Rattus norvegicus: one gene and its partners. The protein of the gene in region 2 binds, or shares a complex with, the protein of the main gene of each other region. Links are inferred from orthologs where the notes say so. Each region holds a gene or a part of one and is shown on either strand. Other genes may lie near its edges.

What was found.
Region 1: Mks1 (region 2) and Tctn1 share a complex: the UniProt entries of both Homo sapiens proteins name them as parts of the tectonic-like complex. The link is inferred for Rattus norvegicus from reciprocal best matches to the Homo sapiens genes MKS1 and TCTN1.
Region 3: Mks1 (region 2) and B9d1 share a complex: the UniProt entries of both Homo sapiens proteins name them as parts of the tectonic-like complex. The link is inferred for Rattus norvegicus from reciprocal best matches to the Homo sapiens genes MKS1 and B9D1.
Region 4: Mks1 (region 2) and Tmem216 share a complex: the UniProt entries of both Homo sapiens proteins name them as parts of the tectonic-like complex. The link is inferred for Rattus norvegicus from reciprocal best matches to the Homo sapiens genes MKS1 and TMEM216.
Region 5: Mks1 (region 2) and Tmem231 share a complex: the UniProt entries of both Homo sapiens proteins name them as parts of the tectonic-like complex. The link is inferred for Rattus norvegicus from reciprocal best matches to the Homo sapiens genes MKS1 and TMEM231.
Region 6: Mks1 (region 2) and Tmem67 share a complex: the UniProt entries of both Homo sapiens proteins name them as parts of the tectonic-like complex. The link is inferred for Rattus norvegicus from reciprocal best matches to the Homo sapiens genes MKS1 and TMEM67.
Region 7: Mks1 (region 2) and Tmem107 share a complex: the UniProt entries of both Homo sapiens proteins name them as parts of the tectonic-like complex. The link is inferred for Rattus norvegicus from reciprocal best matches to the Homo sapiens genes MKS1 and TMEM107.

What each region holds. Positions count from the first base shown.
Region 1 is NC_086030.1:39,998,094-40,001,593, reverse strand, and holds part of Tctn1 (tectonic-1 precursor), read right to left. Parts: intron 2,997-3,500; exon of another isoform or gene 2,024-2,996; intron 1,000-2,023; coding exon 880-999; intron 390-879; exon of another isoform or gene 200-389; coding exon 56-199; 3' UTR 1-55. UniProt on the Homo sapiens protein: Component of the tectonic-like complex, a complex localized at the transition zone of primary cilia and acting as a barrier that prevents diffusion of transmembrane proteins between the cilia and plasma membranes.
Region 2 is NC_086028.1:73,151,301-73,155,398, reverse strand, and holds the start of Mks1 (tectonic-like complex member MKS1), read right to left. Parts: upstream 2,801-4,098; 5' UTR 2,179-2,800; coding exon 2,099-2,178; intron 1,680-2,098; coding exon 1,570-1,679; intron 230-1,569; coding exon 159-229; intron 1-158. UniProt on the Homo sapiens protein: Component of the tectonic-like complex, a complex localized at the transition zone of primary cilia and acting as a barrier that prevents diffusion of transmembrane proteins between the cilia and plasma membranes.
Region 3 is NC_086028.1:46,684,721-46,688,947, forward strand, and holds the start of B9d1 (B9 domain-containing protein 1), read left to right. Parts: upstream 1-1,427; 5' UTR 1,428-1,486; coding exon 1,487-1,549; intron 1,550-2,621; coding exon 2,622-2,690; intron 2,691-4,012; coding exon 4,013-4,124; intron 4,125-4,227. UniProt on the Homo sapiens protein: Component of the tectonic-like complex, a complex localized at the transition zone of primary cilia and acting as a barrier that prevents diffusion of transmembrane proteins between the cilia and plasma membranes.
Region 4 is NC_086019.1:216,620,876-216,623,519, reverse strand, and holds the end of Tmem216 (transmembrane protein 216), read left to right. Parts: intron 1-365; coding exon 366-567; intron 568-1,260; coding exon 1,261-1,276; 3' UTR 1,277-2,144; downstream 2,145-2,644. UniProt on the Homo sapiens protein: Part of the tectonic-like complex which is required for tissue-specific ciliogenesis and may regulate ciliary membrane composition.
Region 5 is NC_086037.1:56,794,173-56,796,515, reverse strand, and holds part of Tmem231 (transmembrane protein 231), read left to right. Parts: intron 1-481; coding exon 482-563; intron 564-1,731; coding exon 1,732-1,837; intron 1,838-2,155; coding exon 2,156-2,333; 3' UTR 2,334-2,343. UniProt on the Homo sapiens protein: Transmembrane component of the tectonic-like complex, a complex localized at the transition zone of primary cilia and acting as a barrier that prevents diffusion of transmembrane proteins between the cilia and plasma membranes.
Region 6 is NC_086023.1:30,338,167-30,341,666, forward strand, and holds part of Tmem67 (meckelin precursor), read right to left. Parts: intron 2,852-3,500; coding exon 2,771-2,851; intron 2,299-2,770; coding exon 2,182-2,298; intron 1-2,181. UniProt on the Homo sapiens protein: Required for ciliary structure and function. Part of the tectonic-like complex which is required for tissue-specific ciliogenesis and may regulate ciliary membrane composition.
Region 7 is NC_086028.1:54,269,696-54,273,995, reverse strand, and holds Tmem107 (transmembrane protein 107), read right to left. Parts: upstream 2,801-4,300; 5' UTR 2,670-2,800; coding exon 2,583-2,669; intron 2,406-2,582; coding exon 2,338-2,405; intron 2,280-2,337; coding exon of another isoform or gene 2,256-2,279; coding exon 2,155-2,255; coding exon of another isoform or gene 2,038-2,154; intron 1,322-2,037; coding exon 1,225-1,321; coding exon of another isoform or gene 1,030-1,224; coding exon 960-1,029; 3' UTR 476-959; downstream 1-475. UniProt on the Homo sapiens protein: Plays a role in cilia formation and embryonic patterning. Requires for normal Sonic hedgehog (Shh) signaling in the neural tube and acts in combination with GLI2 and GLI3 to pattern ventral and intermediate neuronal cell types.

The DNA of each region.
Region 1 (3,500 bases), on a different chromosome or scaffold from region 2:
TGCTGCCAAAGGGAAGCCCTCATGATGGGTACTCACCCGTGTGGGGGCCACCTCATCATACAAATGGGAAGAAGAAGCTGAAGGGCAGCCTGGCATTGATGGTGGGTGGGGCTCGGAAGCCTGCCTCTGCAGGGGCTGACACATCCACAAATGTCACTGCAGTGGAAATGACCATGGTCCTCTCAGGCCCTGGGAGGGGCTGTAAGGAAAAGAGTCAGCACTGTCATCATCTTCCTCACCCGCCCTCACGGCCAGCCTGAGGAGCCGCACGGCGGGTGAGGAGCACTATGCTATCAACTATGCTGGTCCAGCAGCAGCAACCACAGTTCTGTGTTCACAAGAATTGTGACTGCAAATAAAACTGTCAGCCTTTTTGAGTACAAGTTAAAGAATGATCATGGAATTGTTTCAAGACTCGAAATTAAGTCAGGAGCCTGAGGCTCGGGGTCAGTGTGAGAGGGCACAGCATCATCTGCCTACCTTGCCCTCCCTCACGTAGGAGCTGTGACGTGAGCACAGCCATCTCAATCCCAAGACCCCACTGTAAAGAGACTGAAATCCAGAGAGTGATGGCCATCTCGCCTCCCGAGTAATAAGCATTCCCCGTCACCCTGCTGTCCCTGGGCCCTCTGTCTTCCTTCACATTTCTTTCTGTGTGAGGCTGAAGGTTGTCCTGGGTTAAGAACGGGCCTAGAGCTGTTCTGTCTGGTGGCTCACACCTTTAATCTCAGCAGAGGCTGATGGATCTCTGAGTTCAAAGCCAGCCTGGTCTACAAAAAGAGTTCCGGGACATCAGGGATACACAGAGAAACCCTGTCTTGGAGGGAAAAAAGATTGGGCCATACCCCAGCCCATGGAGACCGTTGCCAGCAGGCCTACCTCTGGAATTGAGATGAGCTGGGCAGTGACATTTACTATCCTGGCCTGGGGGTTCAGCAGGGACCCATACTTAGTCCATTTTACTTCTATACCCAAAGCCACAGGAAGCTGGCAAGAGCCCTGCAAAAGAAAACTAGATTAAACCAGAATATCCCACAACCACAAGTCAGACCAACTCTGCAGCTGAATGTTTTAATTAGAAAATGTCTCCCAATTACAGAATGTTCAGAACACTAGGGTAAACGGGCCACACAAGTTCAGGTACAAGCGACTTCACAGAGCTGGAGTTACTAAAGCATCTAGTGCTACAAATGCCGTTTCACCAGCCCCTCCTAGTCCCAAAAGCCAGAGTCACTGTGCAAATGTGAAGTTCCACTACCCAGTGGTGGGACCTTTAGGGCCTCGACCAGTCCTCATCCACCTCAGAGATGTTTCTGGACACTGGCTAGGGGTCAGCAGGGAAGAGAGAATTTAACAGTGGGAAGGTGAACTTGCTTGTATCGCATGTTAGAATAAAACAGGAAACACCAGCATTCTGTCATCTAATTTCACCATCTAGCAACGAAGATACATCCTGGGGTGGAGAGATGGCTCTGCAGTTGAGCACTGGTTACTTAGGTTGAGTCCCCACACCCACCTGACAGCTCAAAACCACCTGTAACTCCAGTTCTCGGAGACACGACACACTCCTCTAGCCTCTGCAGGAACTATGCCCATGCATATATATACGTGTACTCATACACTTTTTTTTAATAAAAGATTTTATGTATGTGAGTACACTGTTGCTGTCTCCAGACACACCAGAAGAGGACATCAGATCTCATTACAAATGGTTGGGAGCCACCATGTGGTTGCTGGGATTTGAACTCAGGACCTCCAGAAGAGCAGTCAGTGCTCTAACCACTGAGCCTTCTCTCCAGCCCCCATACACTTTTTTTTTAAATCTTTAAAAAAAACAAAAACAAAACAAAACAAAAAAAACCAAAAACAAAACAAAACAAAAAACAAAACCCAGCTCAGTTTCACATGCCTTTCCTCCAGTACTGGGGAGGCAGAAGCAGGCAGATCTCTGGGATTGAAGCCAGCCTGCTCTATGGTATCTATGTTCCCAAAGGTGACAGTGCAGAGCAGTCATGGTGCTCACCTTTATTCCCAGCACTCGGAGGCAGAGGCAGCAGACACTTGAGTTCAACGCCAGCCTGGTCCACACAGCGAGTTCCAGGACAGCCAGGACTACAGAGACCCTGTCTCAATCAACAAACAACAGTAACAGTGCAGCATCCTCACTGAGGTAGATGGACTCGGGGCCTCCGGACCCTCCTCTTGCTGAGAACTGGGACTGCAGGAGCTGCAGTGGGCAGAGGGCCCCTAAGCTACAGTACTTGCCTGGATGTTTCAATCTCCATGTATATTTTTCTAAATTATGTCCTGGCTTAGAAAGCTAGCAGACCTGCTAAACTGGAGACTGCCAAAAGCATTCACAGGATTCTTTAGCTTACAAGTGCCTTTTAGGAACCTTGTCACTGAACTGGCTTGCCAATATCCTGTCGCTAGGTGAGGAGCTGTGGCAGGTACAGTGGGCCTGCTTCCTCTGGCACTAATGCCTGGTGTCTTTACCCAGTGTCAGGAAGCTAGGAGCCATGCCCCAGGCTCACTGAGGCTGAGCAGGGGTTAAGTGATTCTTGGAATGGAGGTCTGGTGAGGTTACTCTCCCCACTGAGCTGCTCCTTGTAAATACACAAAGCAGATACTGAGAGGCCTGAAGCGGCTGTGACAAGAAATAGCTGGGTAATTAGGGGAGAATGGAGTGCACACCTCCGCTGGGGACAGCCCACACTCTGCTGTTAAGACAAGAGAAGGAGGTGGGCAGAAGAGTCACGTGTGACCAGGAAGCTATTTGTAGGATGTCAGCTTCCATTAAACTCTTTGGGGAACTTTGGAATGGAAAGAACTCCCGTGTGGGTGGACTGCCATTACAGCACAGAGGGCATGGCATGGCCACATCTCCTGTCCCTCCTGTCCCCAAATGCCCGAGGAAGGCTTACTGCATCACTGCCCTCTGAGCTGACCATCCTGGAGGACTGCAGGAAACTCTGGAGGGCCTGGTGTCCTGGGGACTGAGAAAGTTGAAGATGGACAGGAAATTCACGGTTCATGTCCACCTCACACAGGAGGGCTAGAGATATTTCAGGGAGCCCCAGTTTTGACCACAGCTACCATATGATGAGTAACATGTTAGCACTAAAAAGTTCCAGATTTAGATGTAACATTGATTTCCCAACCATATTCGACTATGGTGGTCACTTGTGCTCCCAGTTTATGGAGTGACCACTGTGTCCGCCAACACCAAACAAATAACCCTGTGTGGTCAGTGACATTGTTTCTGGAGGGCTCTGGTAGGCCCGGGCCTGGCCAACATGGCTCTGGCAGGCCTTGCCTTGTTAAATCATTAGATCACATCCCCAAAGCTGGCCCCAAGGCCTGTGCCCACATTTGGCCACTTCCTCCTCCTCCTGAGGCTGACTACCAAGGTCCAGCTATCAAAGTAAAGCCCCCTTTGGCTGCCCTGATTAACACACCCAGTTAAAATAAAACATTTCATCCCTTATAAATTTCTATTT
Region 2 (4,098 bases):
CAGTGGTAGCCGTTACATTACAATGGCTACGTAAACATAACGGGAGAAAGTATAAGCCACCACAACCCTTTCTGGAAATCAGTTTGACAGTATGAGTCAGTGGCCAGGTACGAGACAGGTAGGTGGAGGCAGACTGAGGACAAGTCATGCTGGCTCACCTGGCTAAACAGCTTCTCCTGCCACCCAATTATAACTTCTTCCTCCTCTTCTTCATCAGGGCGGTGTCCACCTCCAAACACAACAGAATGAATCAGACCAGCCACACTTCTTCCTCGGTGGTTGGTTATAACCAGTGTTCCTATATTTGTTTCATTTGGGTCTTAAAATTTTTGTTATTGTTGTTTGGAAGTGTCTCGTTCTGCAACCCAATCTGACCTCAAATTCCAGATCCTCCTGCCTCAGCCAGAAAAATACTGACATTACATGTGTATACCACCAGGTCTGGCTTCAAAGTCCTGATTCACAACGACCACGAACCCCACTGGAATTCAGTGACTCACTAAGCACTCACTCTAGACAAAGAACGCACATGCTGGACACACTTTGGTTAATGCCAGAAGAGAGATTAGGATCTGAGGTGTCCTAATCATTACTCTAATTTGAATAAAAGGTAACTCTGCCTTCCAGGAAATATAATCTTGTCCAGTACAAGGAACTGAAATTTAGTTAGAGGCTGAAGAGTCAGCCCTTCCTCAATCCTGCCTGCATTTGCTGAATTGGCTAGATAAACATCCTGATGTTTTTCTGAAGCCACCTACCAAATCATCCATAAACATTAACTCAGGAGACCATCAGGAGAGGGAGGGAAGGCAAATAAATTTTTTTAAGAACTATATTTAATACACTCCTAGTTCTGTGCATCTTTCTCAAGACACAACCTTTGTGATCCACACAAAGAATGCCTAAGAATATTTCTGAGTAGAACGAGAAATAACAAAAGCACTAAAGATTACTGGCCCAACATGAGACTCTTGTCCTTTCTTTTGGCTTTGAAGGCAAAGAACAAGAAATCACATTTTTCATGCAAACTCCTATTTTTAAAATTGTTTGTAAGTGTATTTACACATACATTTGGAGTTTGGACCATATTTCTCTTAGAAGCCCTTTCCCCCATTCCCCCCCCCACCCCAGTCTCCCTACCGACCCCCCAACGGCCCCCAATCCCGGTCAAAGTCACAACTAGGATGAGTAAGATGGCTCAAGTCCCAGGACGCATCAGGTACAGAGAGAGAACTGAACTGGTTCGCAAAGGTTATCCCCTGAACTTCACTCTTGCACTGTGGCATGGGCTTGCAGACACACAAATGTAAAGTACAATGTAAAAAAAAAAAACAAAACAAAACAAAAAAAAACCACAACAAAAAAAAACAAAACAAAAAAAACAAAACAAAACAAAACAAAAAAAAACGAAACGATTGCCCAGGTTCAAACGCTTCCATATTCCCCAGCTATGTGACACTGGGCAGCAAACTCAACCTCTCTGAGCTTTCTGTTCCTCCTCGGTACCCTACTGCCCCGCACCCTTGCCTCAGTTCTCAAATGATTCTATTCTATTCCACAAACACCCACTAGCAGCTTGAGGAGGCTTAAAAGTGGCCAAGTCTATGAGGTCCTTCCCCATCTGGGCAGCAGGCTGGTAATGAAGGAAGTTGCTTGATGTGATTCTTTGCAGATGAACTCTGTCAAGAGAAGAGAAGTCCCAAATGTGCGTGTCAAAGACACACAGCAAGGAGATACACGCAGTAAGGATGGGAGAAAGAAATCACAGAGGCAGAGGTGCCAAGGCGGCAGCTAGAGAAGAGGTGGGTAGGGGCGTCTGATGGATAAGTCAGTGAGGCAGGACAGAAGGGTCTGAGGGCTTTGAAAGTGGCGAGAACTTGAATGGACTTGAACAGGGGTGAGTCTGGAAGGTGTGTTTGTAAGCTTTCAGTGGGAAAAGATCCTGAACCAGAACGCGCACAGAAATGGCAGAGGAAGTAGTTGGGATTGTAAGCGGAAGTAGGGGCCTCTGAGCATCCAAAAGCTTAAGGGTGGAATAAAGTTAGGGGGCCCTGGAGCTTAGAGTAAGGGGACCCTGGAGCTGGGGTGGAGTGACTACCGGAGGCGCAGGTTGCGCACGGGGTCCCGGGAGCGATACACGGCCTCGCCGGTGTCAGTGCTCCAGACGGCTTCCGCCATGACAGCTGCTTCGCGCGGCGACCGCGCCGGAAAGCGCGCCCCGTTCCCCTGGCAACGGAGACGCTGGCTTCTTAGACAAGGGAGGCTCTGCGCACGCAGCTCTCCACGCCTGCGGCAGCCAGTCCTTAATGTAGAAGCAAGGGACCCTCAGCAAGTGAGCATGTGTGACGTCTGCAGCCTTGCTTGTCCTGTGTGAGAGCTAATGCACTGCACAAATGAGGAAACCGCCATCAGCTACTTTATTTAGGTGCAAAAATGGTGATGGCGGCCAGAACCAGGTGACCAGAGTTCTTGCTTTCTGACCAAACACTGCCTTCCACTGAACATTTGAAAACTTTGGCCTAGGGGGCGTGTAGAAATGGCTTAGTGGTGAAGAGGTTAGTGACTAGACTTCCAGAGGAACCAGCGTGCTCAAATGGCCACTCACACCTGTCTGTAACTCCGGTTCCAGAGGGGTCAGACACCTTGTCGCCTTACAGTGGACATACTGTGCGCAGACGTATTATGTTCAGCCAAAACACCATTATGCATGAAATAAATAAAAAAACTTTTTTAAAGAAAGAAAACTCAGGCTTAAACAATTGGTGAGTATGGTTGAAAGGACATGCTACGAAAATAAAACATATTCTTTGAAGAAAAAAACCACAAAGAAACCTGTAGGGCAGGTATATCAGTAGTTTTGTGGGTACGCACTGAGCCAGAGAAAGAAAAAACAAGGAAGCCAGCAGTAAAAACAAGGAATCCAGCAGAAAGGAAGGAAAGGGTGTTTTCCCCGTGGCATGTCTGTTCTGGATTATTAAGCAGTTAAGATTCCAAGCCAGCCCCTGAAAAACCAAAGTGACATTCAGAAGTCATGGTTCACTGGAGCATCAAAGGAAAGATAGTATAAACTTAATTCCGGCTGTTTGGCAATATCAATATTGGTAATAAGTATTTGACAGTTGCTGCCCATTCAGCTGAACAAGCAGTTGTTGCCTGGACTGAGACATTTCATGGCCATTTGATTATAGGGCAGAGAAGTCCTGGGCGCATTAGCTACTCATTGTGTACACTAAGAACTCACCACAAATAGCACATACCCAATGGGACCTCACGCAGTTTATATTGACTGTAACCCTCCCCAAAACCTCTCCAAGAGATACTTTATTGCAATTTAAAGGATGAAGTTACCGAAGGCCAGGAGTAAATTAAGGGGCTTCTTAATGAGTGCCGAGGTGGTAAAAACAGATTCCAGCCTGGTTTGGTTTTTGTGGCCTCAAACCTTCCACTGACTTACTGTCTCCCATCCACATCCTTAAGAAAATACAATTTCCGGGGTTGGGGATTTAGCTCAGTGGTAGAGCGCTTACCTAGGAAGCGCAAGGCCCTGGGTTCGGTCCCCAGCTCCAAAAAAAAAAAAAAAAAAAAAAAGAAAAGAAAATACAATTTCCAACTAAAGAATGATTTCTATAGACTGAAACCATGGAGATGGAAAAGCAAGTCAATCTGATTTTTTTTAAGCTGAGAATATCCAGGGGAGGGGGTTTATGTTTGGATTGCCAGCACTGGAGGCATAAATAAAAGGACTTCAAGTCTAAGACCTCATTTTAAACAGAACAAAACAAAAGAAGAACAAACAATTAAAAAAAATCAATCAAGAGCTGTAGAAATGGGTCAGTGGGTGAAGACCTTTGTCACTAAGCATGATGACCTGAGTTTGATCCTTAGAAGGAGAAAGCTTATTTCACAGAGTTGTCGTCTGACCTCCACACTTTGGCATGTGTGCCCACACACCATCACCACCACTAATAATAACAGTAGTAAAATTAAGCTTTTCCGTGGCACCTCCCAGGCCATTGACTGTGTCAGGGTAAAGCCGAGTATCTCCTTCCCAGCTACTGGCTGTGAGAAACTCATTGGAATGGACACTGAACATAAACT
Region 3 (4,227 bases), about 26 Mb from region 2:
AACAGTGAGAGAACACCAGGCACATCTCAAACCGTCTCCTCCTCTCCCTCTCCCTCGCTTCTCTTCTTCTTTTTTTTTTTTTTTTTTTTTATTTTTTTTTACCAAAGCTCCCCGCCCCCCACCCCCACATTCACCGCCACTGCCGCCACCGCCGTCGGCGCGCTCCGCTTCTCTTCTTCTGATCACTGTTGACTTAGGCATATTTGGAGAAGCCAATATCATGGGATGACCACCAAGAATGGCAGCAGTGGTTGAGTGGAGCCAAATACGCTGTGAAGACCAGCAGGTGGCAGCCACCAGCTAGAAGAGAGGGGGTCTAGAATCTCTGCTTGTAAGAAGGACTCAAGGCTCTAAGCTAAAAGAATTTCTTACACTCTTGCACAGTGGCCCACCTGGGAGGCTGTGACCACATGCGTTTCCTCTTCCTCACAGGTGACTTTGGGAATCCCACCAACTGACTTCCAAGCTAAGAGCTTGTGTGATGACCTGGAGTCTGCAGGCTGAGCTCCCTAAAGTATACACATCTGCATCCATTCGTTTCCAGGCTAATCATTAATGTGCTCTCTAGTGTTTCCTTATACGTTCTGCATGTGAAGCCTGATTCTGCAGCTAAATTGCTGCAACGAATATGGCTTAAACTACCTTCCGGGTCTGGATTTCAGTCACTTCCTCCAGAAAAGAGATGTTTTCTTTTCAATGTTTATTCATTAAAGAAGTCGTTCCCAAGTATTTTCCATTGGCCGGACCAGGACCAGGCAATGACGGCCCCCAGAGTCGAGCTGGGGATCTAGAGGCAGAGACTAGCACTAAGCCACTCTGAATTAGACAGTGATAGAGTAAGTGCAGTTGGATCCAAGCGCTAACAGATGCGTCTACTGAGGATGCTGGTGACTTGGGATCAAGCTCTGATATCCCTGAGCTGCCAGTGATTCTCCAAAAATGGGTGATTGGTTCCGTGGGCTCCAGCTTCTCATGCAGGAGCCAGGACTTGGACAAGTGGATTCTCCAAGTTTCAATGACAAGAGCCTCAAAGGGCTAAAGGGCACATCCTTCACCTGAGGCAATGCACTGCGAGATGCCCGCTGGACCACACTGCGCACTAGTCTCCCCAACTGTGGCGCCTGTGCGGTCGCTGCATGTGGCCACAGCGACATCTCCTGGAGAGAGGTAACTCTAGCACGTGACCTTCCGCGAGCCTGAGTCCCGGTGCTGCTTCTCAGTATACAGCTTTCCGGCCTGCGAGCTTCAAGCATGGCCAGGAGAGTGAAGTCACAGTCCCTGCGGGTCCGAGGACCCGACCCTGGGGTTTAGGTTTCGCGCGACGGAAACGGAGGACGGGCCCCTGGGTCGTAAACAACACTGCGCCTGCGCACTCTTGCCTTTACGCGAACTCGTCACCGCTTGAGAAATTTGTCCTAGATGAGTTGCCATCTGTTTCCAAGACAACCCAGGAGCCTCCTGGCAAGGGCGCGCGGCCCAGCCTGCAATGGCTGCAGCAAGTCCCAGTGTCTTCCTGCTCATGGTCAACGGGCAGGTAGAGAGCGCACAGGTAAGCAGCCACTTACTCCTCCCGTTCCTCTCCCTGGGCTCTCTCCTCTGCTCTTAGAGAGTCAAGCCATTGCTCTGAGCGTCTCAAATAATTGGGAAGGCGAACCAGCATTTGAGAACCTTGGTGCCAGGTTGATGGACCGGACAAGCACGAGTGAAAACTGACCTCGAGGTGTTGAGCTGGTACCAAAGTCACACTATGGTCTCTTGCTTGGCTCCTGTTTACTTGGTTGAGTGATGGTCTAGAACTAATGGGATTCAGCCGATCATTTAACAGCTAGGAACTTAGCGGAAGGCAGTGGCCAAGTGGGATTTGACCCGGGTCTGACAGACAGAACTTTGCTACATTCTTCTTCTGGGCTGCTTGTTGAAAATGCTCATTATTCCTACATGTTCTGAGGTTTGGCTGAGATGATTTAAGTTCTACCAGGTCTGAAGCTCAGTAGGTGTTCCTGCCTTCCCATTCATTGGTACTGCATCCTCCGTTTTCCAGTAAGTGGATGCCTACCTGGGCTGCTTCCTCTGGACACCTTCCTTCAGCTTCTGCTCTGGGCCTTCCCTTCTTCCCGGCCCTCAGTTCTAGCCATGTTCTTTGGCCCTGTAGCTTCTTGGGTTCCACTGTAGCTTCTTGGGTTCCACGGCAGCTCATTTCTGTAGCTCTAACTTATGCCCCGAGGCATGAAACCCGTTCCTTCCTCAATCTAACAGGGCTTGTCAGATAGACATTGGTTTCCTGGATGCAGAAATGCAGAGGAGCGTTGGGAGCCAAGCGATGATCCTTAAGCCAGCTAGAGAGTAAAGAATTCCCTGAGGGTGAATTCTGAAAGATGGGCAAGGGGCCTGCCACATGATGGACTGGGAAAGACAGAAAACAGAGCAAAATAACCCGTGATAATTGGCAGTCTGGGACTAACCCCAGTTTCATTTCCATTCCCTGTCCCTGCTGAAACCCATGTCCACATCCTCAACCCCAGATTTCTCATGTTCATGATTCCTACCCACTGCACCTGCCTAGCTAGTGTGTGGGTCCAGTTTGCACTTTCTAGACCAAAGCCTGTATACTTTTCTCTCAGTTTCCAGAGTACGATGACCTCTACTGCAAGTACTGCTTTGTGTACGGCCAGGACTGGGCCCCAACAGCGGTGAGTTGGACTCATGGGCCTCCCCTAGAGCTCTTGTGATTCTTAAAGTTTTCTCATATGCTTCTATTCCAGACCCAACAGGTAGACACTAAGGTCAGAGATGACCCAAACATGAGCTCCTTTCTAGCAAAGCTAGTTTACAGTATACTACGGGGTTCACTCATCTGTGTTGGTGGCAGTCAAGAATAAGAAGTGGCAGCCTTCAAAAAAGAAAGAAAAAAGAAAAAAAAAAAAAAAGACGTGGCAGGCTCTGGAGAACCAGCTGCCAATGGCTATGGACACCCATCAGCCAATACCCCCCCCCCCCAAAATGTGGCCCCTTCTCAGACAACAAAAACCAACCAGAACAAAATAAAGGGTCTGTTCTCGAGGTTTTGAGTTCTTTACCACAGGAAGGGGCTGCAGTGAAGACCACCACCACACCATACTTCATTGTTTGCATAGCCTAACCTTCACAATAGTTTAAAAAGCCAGCCAAACATGATAGCATCTGCCTGTAATCCAACACAGAAGGCTGAGGCAGGAGTGTCTCTAGGAATTCAAGGTCAACTCTGGGCTACATATAGGAGGACCACACAACTGGAAAAAATAAAAAATCCAACGTCAGGGTTGGGGATTTAGCTCAGTGGTAGAGCGCTTGCCTAGCAAGCGCAAGGCCCTGGGTTCGGTCCCCAGCTCCGAAAAAAAAGAAAAAAAAAATGTCCAACGTCTTTGAGCCAGAGTTTCTTCATCTGTACCACAGACATGTTAATACTTTTTGGGTTTTCTCTTATGATACTTGCATAGAGATTAATTCTATTTTAAGTTGTGTGTCTATATATCTGTGTATGGGTATGAATGCAAGTGGAGGCCACAGGTCAGATCCCCTGGAGCTGGAACTGCAGGTGGCTGTGAGCTACCTTTGGGGCTGGAGAAAATTACTGAACAGAATATGTACTTTTGCAGAGGACCCCAGCTTGATTCTCAGCACCCACACTGTGGCTCACAACCATTTATAACTTAGTGACTATTATTGAGTCCCCTGGGAGTGACCAATGTCTGACAGAGTCCCCATCTTTGTGGAGAACATCTGTACTTGTTAAGGAGACACTACGTAGGATACGTTCTGTGCTACGTTCAAGGACAGGTGGAATGAAGAGGGAGTAGATCAGGAGCTAGAGTGTACAGGTAACTAGGAGGGTAGAATCTAGACCAAGGCATTTCAAGGGCGGGTAGAGACAAGCAACACAGAACTTACATGATCTCTCCACCTTGCCTGCTTAAATAGAAAGGTCATGGGTTCCTGGCACTCAGACCAGCTGTCTCTGCCAATGTCTATACAGGGTCTGGAAGAAGGGATCTCACAGATAGCATCCAAGAGCCAAGATGTACGGCAAGCACTGGTGTGGAACTTCCCTATCGACGTGACCTTTAAAAGTACCAACCCCTATGGCTGTGAGTCTGTGGGCCATGATGGAAGGGGTAGATCTTTACCACATCTGCCACCAATCTCCTTTAGGTGGCCACTGCCAATGCCTGGGTTTGTGCCCTAGCTTTT
Region 4 (2,644 bases), on a different chromosome or scaffold from region 2:
TTAGTTCAGTGGGACTTAAATTTTAAATAATATTCCCTGCTAGAGAGATGGCTCAGTGGTTAAGAGCACTGGCTACTTTTCCAGAAATCCAGAGTTCAAAGCCCAGCTTCACATGGTGGCTCACATTCCTCTGCAACTCCAGTTCCAGAGAATATGATTTGTTCTGTCACAGGCACCAGGCCAGGCACACACACAGTGCATACTCATACACAGAAAATAAGCAATAAATTAATAAAATATTTAAATATGATATTCCCACTGAGAGTAATTTTTCTCTGTTCCGTCCATCTGTCACACCAGACACTTTCTGAGGCCAGGAAGAGCAGTCACTATTGGCGGTGACCATGGGGCTGTTTTTTTTTTAGGTACAAAGGGAAACCTCTGCCAGCGAAAGATGCCCCTTGGCATCAGTGTGGCCCTGACCTTCCCTTCTGCCATGATGGCTTCCTATTACCTGCTGCTGCAGACCTACGTGCTCCGCCTAGAAGCTATTATGAACAGTATCTTGCTCTTCTTTTGTGGCTCAGAGCTGCTGCTTGAGATGCTCACGCTGGCCACTTTCTCCAGGTATAACTGCTGAGGGCTGGATTCCCCACCCAGATATGGCTTTTTGAAGGCCTAGAAGATGTAGAAAACTGAATTTAAGGGGGTGTCTATGGGGATGCTTTTCTTACTTCAGTAGATAGAAAGGTTCTGTGTAGTTCTACTTCTGTATACTCACCTCTGTGTATACACAAATGATCAGGAGTTGTGTAGAGCAGAGGCTGATGTCAAGTGTCTTCATAACTTTCCACCTTATTATATATTGGAGAGTCTTTCACTTGAACCCAAAGCTCTTCAATTTGGTTAGAGCAGCTAGCCAGTTTGCTTCAGGAAACCCATTTCCCCATCTATAGATGCTGGTCCTCATGCTTGGGTTGCAAGTACTTTACCCACTGAACCATCTTCCCAGTCCCCAAAGCTTCCTTCCTAAGGAAGATAGTCTTCTGGTTCTGTGGAATCAAGAGGCTTCTAAAATGCAGAGTCCAAGCTTTCAGTTGTTAGACACTGGTCTTATTTTTTTTAATGTCCAGTGGTGTTTGACCTGCCTGTATGAGTCAGATCCACTGGAACTCGAGTTACAGACACTTGTGAGCTGTCATGTGATGCTGGGAATTGAACCCAGGTCCTCTGGAAGAGTAGCCGATGCCCTTAACTGCCTGGTCATCTCTCTAGACCTACTCACTGGTCTTTTAACAGTTTCTTTCTTTTTGCCTTTAGTATGGACAGGATCTGAAGTACAAGAATTCCAGTTGGTAGCCCATCAGGTCACAACCCATATCCGTCTGGTACTTCAGCCACACTTGTGAAAAGTGGTAGGTCGAGCTGACCTGGGAAAGGTTTGTGTGGTTTTTCCTCAGCACAGACATTTGGGCATTGAGCACCTACCTGAGGCCAGTGGCACCATCTTTAAACCGGGATGGATCATCAGCAGGAGACTCTTTCCTTTTGTTGAAGGGGCAAGGCTGTCCCCATCTTGGTGTTTCTAACAGCTTCCTAATGACTTCAAGTTCTCTTTTGTGGTCATTATGGCCAGAGAGAGCTCCTTGTGTGGCCCATCTAGTTTTGTCTGGCTTCCAGCAGAACCTGAGCCACAGTACCCTGTACGTAACACATCTGCCCTACATGACCATGCAAAGAAAGCCTCATAATGGTGGGCTCTTAAGCGGATTCCAATGTGTGTTCCCCGTACCCTCCTCCTCATCCTGCTCAAGGAGATGGTGATCTAGAACCCATTTAGTAGTTCACAGTAGTATTTTTCTAATTCTGATCATGAAGCAAACACAAATTTTTTAAATAAAAAGTATTTTCTGGTATGGGGCTGGTTGTCTTTTCCCTAAGATGCCTCTTTTTTTTTTTTTTCTGACTTAAAAGTGTTATTCATATTATGTTTTATTAGGTTAAGGTTTTGTCTACAGAGCTGTTTGTGGCCATGGGACCGAGGAGGGCCTTACAGCCTCTGGATTATTAGTTACAGGTGGTTAAAAACTCTCCTGTGTGCTGGGAATGTAACCAGAGTTCTCTGAGAACAGTAATTGCTTTTGCAGCTGAGTTCCCACAAACTGAATCTTTACAAATAAAGTCTTCATTTTCTTTTCCTTCTCTGATGAGTAAACATTTGTGTTTGATTTCTCCTTTGCTTTGGGCCTGGTCATCTGTTCTGCTCAGTCCAATGTAGACAGGTCTCCAAAGAAACTTGGTTGGGCTGTGCTTAGGGCCAGCACCTAAATTGAATCTCAGTTTCTAAGTCATCAGAAAAACAAACATACAAGAACATTAACAGGGTAGATGTCAGGCAGATTGTCCCAGGCTCTAGTGCTGCCATTGCCCCACCTGCCATTTTAAATTATTACAGCTGTTTTCAATCCTGAGCCACCATGCCATCTCCTCCCAGATTCAATGTACATCCCTCAGCAATACTATAGTCTAACCAGAAGTCATTGATAAAAACATTGGTTGTGGCTGTTGGAAGACAGGGGTAGGTCATAGTTGTCCAGCTAATAAAATTGCTTTAGGAGTTTGAGTGAGGGCTCCAAGAAAACACTGTGCAGAAGCCAGGGAGTGGAATGCTTCAGCCACCAAGTGGGGATGTGATAACACCACT
Region 5 (2,343 bases), on a different chromosome or scaffold from region 2:
TCTCTCTTTCTCTCTCTCTCTCTCTCTCTCTCTCTCTCTCTCTCTCTCTCTCTCTGTGTGTGTGTGTGTGTGTGTGTGTGTGTGTACTCAAAAATGATTATTACAGAAAGTTTATTCATCCCCAAAGAAAAGATTACTGAACCGGGGCTGGTGAGATGTTCTATTCCCGGCATCCACATAAGGTCACTTACAACCACCTGTAACTCTAACTCCAGACTCCAGGGTGACCCAATGCCTCCGGCCTCTATGGGCACGTGTGCTCACATGTACATGTTACCCCCACCCTCTGACACACTCACATTCGCACACAAGTATGAATAATAAAAATAGAACTCTACAGAAATAATTCTGAACCAGGGCTGGGTCACAAGCACAAGAGCGTGGTCTCTGGGCCAGGGTGGCCTCAGGATTGAGGCTGGGTGGGCTGCTGCGTGGGAAGGAGAGCGAAGTGCTCACAGTGTGTCCTCCTGCCTCGCCCCAGGTATCGGTGATCAATGGGACCAGTCCTTTTGCCCATGACTACGACCTGACTCACATTGTCGCTGCCTATCAGGAAAGGAATGGTGAGTTGCTGGACCCCTGTCCACAGGCTGCCCGGGCTTGCCGGAACTTGTCCTCTGTCCACTGTCCACACCCTTCCCCACAAGCCACCTCTCCCGTAGCCCAGCATATCAGCAATCACTCGCTTTATTTATCCTGTCACTGGCTTGGCTGCTTTGCTCTCATTAGTGTGTATTGGTTTGAGTGAGTTGTCTCTCATAGTACACCTGTAAGAGAAGTCAGGGCCGTTTACTGTCCTCACTTTCCAGACAGCGATGGGTGATGCGTGTCAGGCAGTCCGCAATGGTAGGCTGGTAGAAGGGAGGCACCGGCAGAACTGACTATAGGTAGCGTTCGTCCCTAGAGGAGTGTCCCCAGGCTTGAGTCAGCACACCAGGCTGGTTTGTGGTCTAACATTTTCCCTAAAGGCATCAAAAGTGTTTCTGGCAACACGACATTATGGGTGACAGCCACAAACGTTTCACAAGTGGAGGGCTTTTAATTCCAGTATTTCTTTTTAATTTTATGCAGTACAATAGCAGCAATACAATTCCTAAAACTAAATCTGACAACTGCTGGCCCCAAGATCAACTCTTTCCTCTTTAATTCATTCACTCTTTGTCCATATATAAATAGTTTCATACAACTTTCACTCTTCGGGGCTGAGAGCTCGAGCTCTTGCTTAGCATAGATCGGGTACAATTCCCCCGATTCAGTCACCAGTGCCACATAAAGCTTGGTAGCACACACACACACACACACACACATAGCCCCAGCCCTCAGGAGATGGAGACGAGAGTAATCAGAAATTCAAGCTCATCCTTGGTAATATAGCAAGTTGGAGACCAGTGAGCTACATGAGAAGAGAGAGAGAGAGAGAGAGAGAGAGAGAGAGAGAGAGAGAGAGAGAAACAGAGACAGAGACAGAGACAGAGAGACAGAGAGAGAAGAAAGGAGTCAATGAGATGGTTCAGTGGGTGGATAAGAGCATTTTCCATTAAGCCTGATGACCTGAGTTCTATCCTTGGGGTTCACATGGTGGAGGGAGAGAATTGGTACACCTGCACACACACACACACACACACACAAGCATGCAAATAGATCTTAGAAACAGAAAAGACTTTGGGATCTGTACTCAAAGACTACTTATAGCCCTTCGCTTTGAATTAATGACTAATGTTTGCCTTGCAGTTACCACTGTCCTCAGTGACCCCAACCCAATCTGGCTGGTGGGCCGGGCCGCTGAAGCTCCTTTTGTGATCGATGCTGTCATCCGCTATCCCGTGGAAGTCATTTCATATCCTTTCTGTTAGCCGGGTTCCACTAGGAAAGAAGAGCTTCCTTAGTTTAGTTACCCCAAGTAGGAACAGATGTGGGACTCACAAGATAGGAAATTGCCACAGCTCTTTAGCCCCATACAAATGACTGCTGCTCCTACAGCAAAGAAAAATCAATTTCCTGTGCCTCTTTCTTTCTAAACATTTCTGAGTCAGAATTATCCATGTTTATATCTTAATAATCTCTGGAGAGTATTTGAAGTATTCTGTTTCCCATCTGACCTGAGCTTTGGGGTAGCTGTTCCTTACTCGTGGCTGCTGTTCCTTAGCATTTGTACTTATCAGCCAGGGTTCTGGGAGATGATAAAGTTTGCCTGGATCCAGTATGTCAGCATCCTGCTCATCTTCCTCTGGGTGTTTGAAAGAATCAAAATCTTCGTGTTTCAGAACCAAGTAGTGACCTCCATCCCTGTAGCCGTGCCCCAGGGAGAGATAAGGAAAGAGCACTTATCCTGAGAAGCTTCTG
Region 6 (3,500 bases), on a different chromosome or scaffold from region 2:
ATATGAGATTCTCTATTTTGAATAAAAATTTAAATTAACAAAGTATAGGAAATTGTGGGGAATGAAGAATGCATAAACTATGAAGAGGAACCAAGAAAAGATCAGCTATAAATTTCAATATCTGGACTGGATATATTAAAGCACATCATTTCCAGCTCTTTTCTAAGTCACAAACATACACAGAACAACAACAACAATGACAACACTCGGAATTACACTTTTTTTTTTGTTAAACATCATATCCCGAGCAATTTTCCATACATACATAGTCATTTGGGGAGGTAGAAAGGATGACTTTTATTTATATATAAAAAGTGGCAGCATAGGAAAATCAGCCAGGCACAGTCTGATATCTCTGCTCAGTCGGTTCTGATGACCCCAGTCTTCGTAGCTTCCATCTGGTCGGTAGCCGACAACGCCAGGAATCCTCTGGGCCTTGAGCTCCTTCACTGCGAGGGTCTCCTTCCGCTCAGGCTTCACCATCCCCGGGGCACACTCGGAGAGCTGGAGGGCTGGGGACCCAGCACCCACTGGCTTGCTAGTACTTGATCATGTGTGGAGTAGTGACTCTCACTGACTTTCAGTTGCTCCCTAGTCCTGCTGGGCATTTTCCAAGACATTTATGCCTGCATCCTCCTCCTTGTCCCCTTCAAAGTCATTGCCACTGAAGGTCCTCATTGTCTGACATGAGGACAGTGGACTCCCATCTTTAATATAAAATAGTTAAGCACTAACTTCAGAGGTTTAATTGTAAAGGTAAACCAGCCTACACAATCCTCTCAAACGTTTGCATGCTTTCTTCCTGTGGAAAAATCTAGACTCTAAGAATTTTCCTTGGGTTAAAATTCACATAAGCAGTCTAAGACTAGAGAGTCCCAAGAATCTCCTGACGTTTACTACTCAAAACATTTTCCAGTTGTAAAAACCTTCCTGATAACACCTGTCTTACGGTTCACATTTTATTAACCATTAGCTTCACAGAAGTATGGCAAGTTGAAGACGGAGCACCATGGTTTTAGATATCAATATCGCTGACATATTAGTTATATGCACTTTACCCTAATTTGCTATCTTGTAATTGTGACTGACATATATGTCCTATGATAGTAAACTAAACTGAATTACTACTCACGTCCTGAGGCTTTCCAAAGGGTACACTTTTGATGGCACTCCTCGGTTGTCATCTTTGTTCCCAGGGGCTTACGGCTTAAATTATTACAGGTAACCTTTCAACCCACAGTCGCGTCTAAGAGCTAAGGGAGGGTTTAGCTCCTCAATTCTCCAAGTCGCAGATATGGGCTCAGTGAACCCCTAAGGCTTTCTTCTTAGCACCCCTTGTTCTTTTTTGGGGTGTCCTTGCTCGGGTCTCAGTATCATCAACCTTTAGCCAATCTTTGTTTCATTTATCTCCCCAGGTTTCTTTTATTTAGGGTATTTTACTGTAGACTTAAGATCCTGTCATTTCACTTGTGATTCTCTAATAAGGATTTAATGAAACAACCGCCACTGTCATTTTTATAACTAACAAAATTAATCACTTAATAGAACAGCGAATGATTATGTCAGACTTTCTCGGTATCTTAAGCTTCGCTGCCCTGTTTCCTAGTGTCCCTCAAGCAGGATCTCCTCTACCCCACCATCAGCCCTCCTCTCCTTTAACGCCGTTGGTTTGTTACAGACAGTCAGCCATGTGCTCTGTGGTGCGCTGCACATTGGATGTGCTAAGGACTTCTATCAGCTCTGTCTCGGTTGCTCCTCTGGACTCTGTTCTTCCTATAAAACCGTGGTTAAACTAGAGATTTGATTGTCTTCAGGCTCGGTCTTCCCAGCACAGCAGGAAGTGCAGTGTCGGCTTGCTTCATTTTTAACTGACTGAAAGGAGTCTCTGTGTCCGGATCCCGTGAGCCTGACCCTTCGCTAGAGCTGCCATTGACACGCTCTTGTTTAAGAACCACTGATGACTGCAGTCTGTCTTTCCACCCATTAGTCTCAGTGCACTGGTGCTCCCCTAACTCAAACATCCTCCCTCTCTCCCTGCAGAGGAGGAAGAACTTTCCTGGCGCACTTGATTACTCTGAAATCCATGGAGACTGCAGACAAACCCGGGCTCCATTCGTACTCAGGTCATTACTTGGCAGCCCTGCGACTTTCCAAAGTCATTCGTGAGGACTACGTTCTTACCGCCTCTCGCCTCAGGTTCATGTTCATGTCCTCCATGTTGGTGTCCGCATGGCCGTGGACTGACCTGCCGTGAATGTAATATCCAAAACATCTGTGGGACAGCAGGAACACTGACACCTGCAGAGAGCGCGGGAAAAGAGGCGATCAGGGACTTCTCCATAACGGCCAAGTAAGCTTTTGTTAAAATGGCTACCTTTTACCCAAAATAACGATTAGCAAGGAAACAATGTTGTTTGTTGTGTATAAAGTTAGTGGAAAGAAGGCTAGAGCTGTTTTCTAAGAATGTGTGAAAAAAAATCAGGGGCTGCAGGATGAATGAATCACTAATTAATTATTCATAATTAAGAACTGCAGATAAAGAAGAAAAAAGGTAAGGCAAGAGTATTAACTTGTGGAAGAATATATCTATTCTTCAAATTAATAGCTGGTTGAAAATTAGATGGGCAATCCGATCATCACAAGCCAACTTATTAAACTGCTGTAGAGCTGCTCGGTGAGATGTACGGGCACGTTTTAATGCTTCTCTACACATACCTGTCTTTCCAAAGTGGAAAGTGACAGTCGCAAGATGATCTTAGAGAGTACTCACGTTACTCATGGAGCACAGGTCAACGAACTGCCGGATTTTGTCTTCTATGAATCTCTCATAAAAGGCAGCAAAGAAAACAGCCTGAAACAGCAAGGCATAGTCACGCATGCTGCCTCCTTCGGGAAGTCCACCGTCCTTAATAACCGCAGTGGACTATTTTAAGAAAACAGACGTTCCAACCAAGAACACAGTGGCCTCTAAAGGTTCCCATGGGATAAAATCCCATTTATCTGTTCTGAGTCTATCCCCTAAGGCGGTGAGATTTGGAATTATGTCAAGAGTTCCTGAGTGACCATTTTGAAAAGTGCCATATTTGGAGCCCTCCCCACCACTCTCCAATCCTAACCTCTACTCTTCTTTGTTAACTACCTCACATCGCTGTCAGGTATCTTCATAGCATTTGTCATAGTCTAGTTAGCTCTTGTAAGTGTTAGGGCTTTCACACAGATTCAACAGTGTCTATTACATAAGGCATGCTTAACCTAAGGATGGATTAGAGACTCCATAGCACCTTGTTTATAGTATATCCTTAAACTAAACACCACCACCACACACACACACACACACACACACACACACACACACACACACACACACACACTCTTAAGGAACAGAACATACTAACAGTTAAGATTTAAAATGTAAAGGAGTGAACACTGAAGCCTGCTTGACTGTTAGGCACATTTATGAAGAGGTTAGATGTTAGGTGCAGTTTTAAGAATGCTACTGT
Region 7 (4,300 bases), about 19 Mb from region 2:
TTCTAGAAGCTGGGCAAACAATCAGCAGCAAGGCACTTGTTGTCATAGAAATAAGGTCTGAGCAATCAGTCAGTCATATACACAATTACTAAAAGCACCTTAAAGTCATGGCTCTGACCAGTGTTAGGAGAAATTTCAGGAGCACAGGACAAAATTCCTAAATTCTATCAGTCAGTACATGCGAAATAAATATGATCGTCAGAGAATCAGATAGGAGCAATCAGGATGTTGTCAGGTCCTGATTACACGGAAATGCTAATCAGCAGATCATGCAAGCTCCAATCATCATTTTCTATCTGCCCTCCGAGAGGAGGAACAGGTAAGGATTAACCTCCTGACGATAAAGGACAAAGGGAGCCCATTCCTAATTAAGTAAAGACATTCCATATTAAAGAAAGGGTGAGAATATGACAATTTAGCACGAACCCAATGACTTATAGTTATTGCAACTCAAGAGCAATATCTATTTGCAAGTCGCCTGAAATATTTTATTTTTCCATTCGGCGCAGAAAGAGAGAAACAAAGTTCTCCCATAATGCTCCGCTCACATACAGCAAATTAGAAGCCCTATGTGAGGTTCTTATTTACATATTCCCGCCCACTCACTTCCGCCTATTTTGTACCGTAAAAATCCAAATAGAAGCATAAGCTACTAGCTCACGTACAGAAGGCTAGAAAAAAGCCTTTATTTACATCAGCCTTTTGATTTACCCAATGGTCTTCTGACAAATAGTCTAAGCCTTGCTCTTATTATAAAATGAATTTTATTACAAAACTCTAATAAAATTATAACCCAAGATTTGTGAGATCTTATCCCAACATTGCCATTTTCTGTTTAGACGCAGTTGGGAGGAGCAAAAGACTAGGGCGAGAGAAAACTGAAGCCTCTCCCTTTCTTCTTCCAGCAATGGGAGGGAGTTCATCACGTTTCCGGCTTTGGTCTCTTCATCGGATTGTGATCAGAAGGGTTTCTTTTTCAGCCCAAAGACAGCGATGAATAACGCAGTTTCAGTGACAGCTGGAAAAGCGCTGTGGAAGTAGGGGGTGGGTTTAGAGCCCCTTCCGACCCAAACACTCAAACCTCCAAGCCTTATATGTGAGTGGGTTAGCGGATGGGTACGACTCTTTAAAACTCTACCAATTTCACATGTGCAGGAAAGGTCTAGGTGGGGGAAACCTTCAGATTTGGGGTAGACTTTCCACCACCCTCCATTCCAAAATAACCTGCAGAAGGCAAAAATGTACCAGTACGTGGTACATTCCCATCGCTCGAATATGAAGAAAGATAGGGCCACAGACGCGCTACAGTGGGCTGCAATGGCTTAAAAATACAGCAGAGTCAAGGAAAATAATAGGTAAGTGATGGGTCCCTTTAGTACTCGGACTTGGGCTCAGCTTGTTCCCTTCCCTTAAGACAAACACCAGAGTTGGCAGCCATGCCTTCTGAATTTGTGGACACTTATGTGTAAGAGGCCAGAGCTGAGTTTGTTTTGATAGGACCTCTCCCTGTACACTTTTGGGAGTTAATGTCACATATGCCCTAGGCCTCACAAGAATACCTACAGGTCTGATACACTGTGGGAATTTCTCCAGTGCTCTGGTCCTCCTTGTCCACAACTCAGAGTCAACGGCTATCTTTTTTTTTTTTTTTTTTTTTTTAAAAAACAGGGTCTCTCTATGTAGCCCTGGCTGATTTGGAACTCACTATGTAGGCCAAGCTGGCTTCGAACTTAGAGATTCACCTGCTCCTGCCTCCCTAGTGCTAGGATTAAAGGTTTGCAACATCACACCCGGGTATCGAGAACCTTCCTATGTGTCTCATTTTCTTGGTCCCTTTTGAGTTCCCACAATGGTTTGTATTTTGCACACTCCTACAGAATACTGTTTAATCACACTGATTTACAGATGTTTATCCATCTCTTCCTCAAACAGGATAAAGTGGTTTTACTCCCACTCATGGATCGCCAGAACCTGGCTCACATCAGGGTTTAAGGTTTGAAGTCTATTAATTCCCCAAAACTGTCTAAAACCTCTCACCTAGAGAGATTCGCTTTGCCACGTAGGGCAGAGACTTGTGCCCAAAAGGCCTACAGAAGTGGAAAGAGTGAGTGGTGATGATGTCGCATGGGGACGCTGGCCAGGCAGAAAGGATACAGAGGAGGCTCTGGGTGCTATTAAACATGGAGACTCCTGAGAGGAAGCCAGCCAGCTCCACTGCAAAGAGGCCCAGGGTGAGGCAGAGCGCTGCTACCAGTCTGCAGAGAGAAAGGGTGATGGACCTGGGTTTCCGGATTGCGTAGAAGACCCTGGCACTCTCACCCCGCCCCAAGAGCTCACTGGTTGTCCTGCTTCTCATATTCCTCCGGGGTGAACTTGAGAGGCAGGCAAGCCTGGATGTTGCTTTCCTGGTGAGCCGGGCAGAAAGAAAGAAAGAAATGTCAAAAGAGGGATGGGGTTGCGGGGGACGGGAGCAACGGACCCAGTGTGGGTCTGTGGGAGTGGACTGAGCTGAGCTGGGTCCACTCTAAGGTGAGAATGGGAGGGACAAGAAGACACGCGCGCGCGCCCTGTCCACGTCTTACCCGGGACCAGAACAAAGTGATGACAATCACCAGATGAGCCAAGAGCGTCAGGAATCGAGAGGGCACGAGCCCGGAGATCCGACCCATGGCCTCGGGGGCCCAAAGCGGAGGCCGTAGAAGTCTGAGGAGGGTCACTCATCAAGTCTCCCAGAGCAAGCAGGCCAGACCTCTCTACTTAAGCCTCCTTCCCGCGTGCTCAGGCGCCGCCCGGTTGCCATGGTAACTGCGTCCTCAGGCGCCATGCAGCTGCCTCCGGAAGTCTCGCGATAGTGCTGCGCCCTCTGCAGATGTCTATAGGCCAGGTACCCGAGCCGATGCTCACCTCCTGGTGCTTGTGGGATGAATCCGGGAGGATGCACCCGTAACCACCAAATCCTCCCTTTTCCTGTGCTTCCCACTCACTGCCTTGGGCGCCAGGAGATGAGGGAACGAAGGAGTAGAGCTTCAGCACCGAGCTTTGCCCCACAGTCTCGCCAAGCCCTCCCCGCCCCCCCCCCACAGCCCCTGGTTGTCAGAGGGCTCCCTCTCCCACCCAAGACCAAACCTCTGCCGATGAACGACTCTAATTTCTCCCTAAATAACTTGTCTCGGTTTCATGAAAGATTTGCCGAGTGCAGAAATGAGCAACCTTGGAATGGGTAGAATAGGATGTGGGTGGATGAGGTGACAGCCTCCTCGGGATCCCAAGGGATCTGAAAAGGTGAAGAATGGAGTGGGGGACTAGAACAGCTTGTGCGCCCCTGGGAGGCTTAAACCAGGCTGATTCACCACCGATTTCACTCTCGCTTTGAGTTGCCAGGCCGCGGACATTGCTCAGTTACAGACCCAGAACCTCTTCTTAGGGTGATGTGACTGATTTGGGGCTTCGGATGAAATGCCTGCGATCGGAAAGTTCTCACTACCATCCCAGTTCACAATCAAGTCCCATTGACAATGAACCTCCTCCTTTTGCACCCCCTCTTCTCTCATTTCTCTGTGTGTGTGTGTGTGTGTGTGTGTGTGTGTGTGTGTGTGTGTGTGCCTCTAAACCAGCCTAAAAGACAAGACCCAGAGGGATTTCATTCATTCAACAAATATCTGATGTCTCCCAGATGCCAGGCACTGTGCTTGACTCAGAATACATCGATAAAGTCCCTCCAGTTTATATTCTAGGCAGAGAGACTGATAACAAAACAAACAAACAAAACAAAACAAACAAATACACACACACACACACACACACACACACACAAAACCCCAACAAAACCCTGCAAGGTAATGTATGCTGTAAATTTAAAAACTTTAAAGGGTGACACTAGAATAATATCAAAGGAAAGTTTTGAAATAGATAATTCCTAAATTTTCGTTTCAAGGAATTGGGGGGAGGGGGAGAGAGAGAGGAAATGTTTCTGTCTCCCTAAAGTAATACATGGGGTCCCCTTACCTAAACCAGTGAGTAAAAACATTTAGAATGCAGAGTCAACGTTTTTTACTTAAAGGTCATGAAAGACAGGCTGGAGTTCTTCCCACTGAGTGGGGGATAAACCTAACCTAACATGAGATCCCAAACCAGACAAAAGACACCCCCCACCCACACACACACTCACACTTTCATTATAAAAGACTGGTGGAATGTTTGACAAACAGTATAGTATTTGTAACTTAAATAACAACAACGTAGATTTTTTTAATTTTTTATTTATTATATATGAATACACTGTAGCTGTCCTCAGACACAC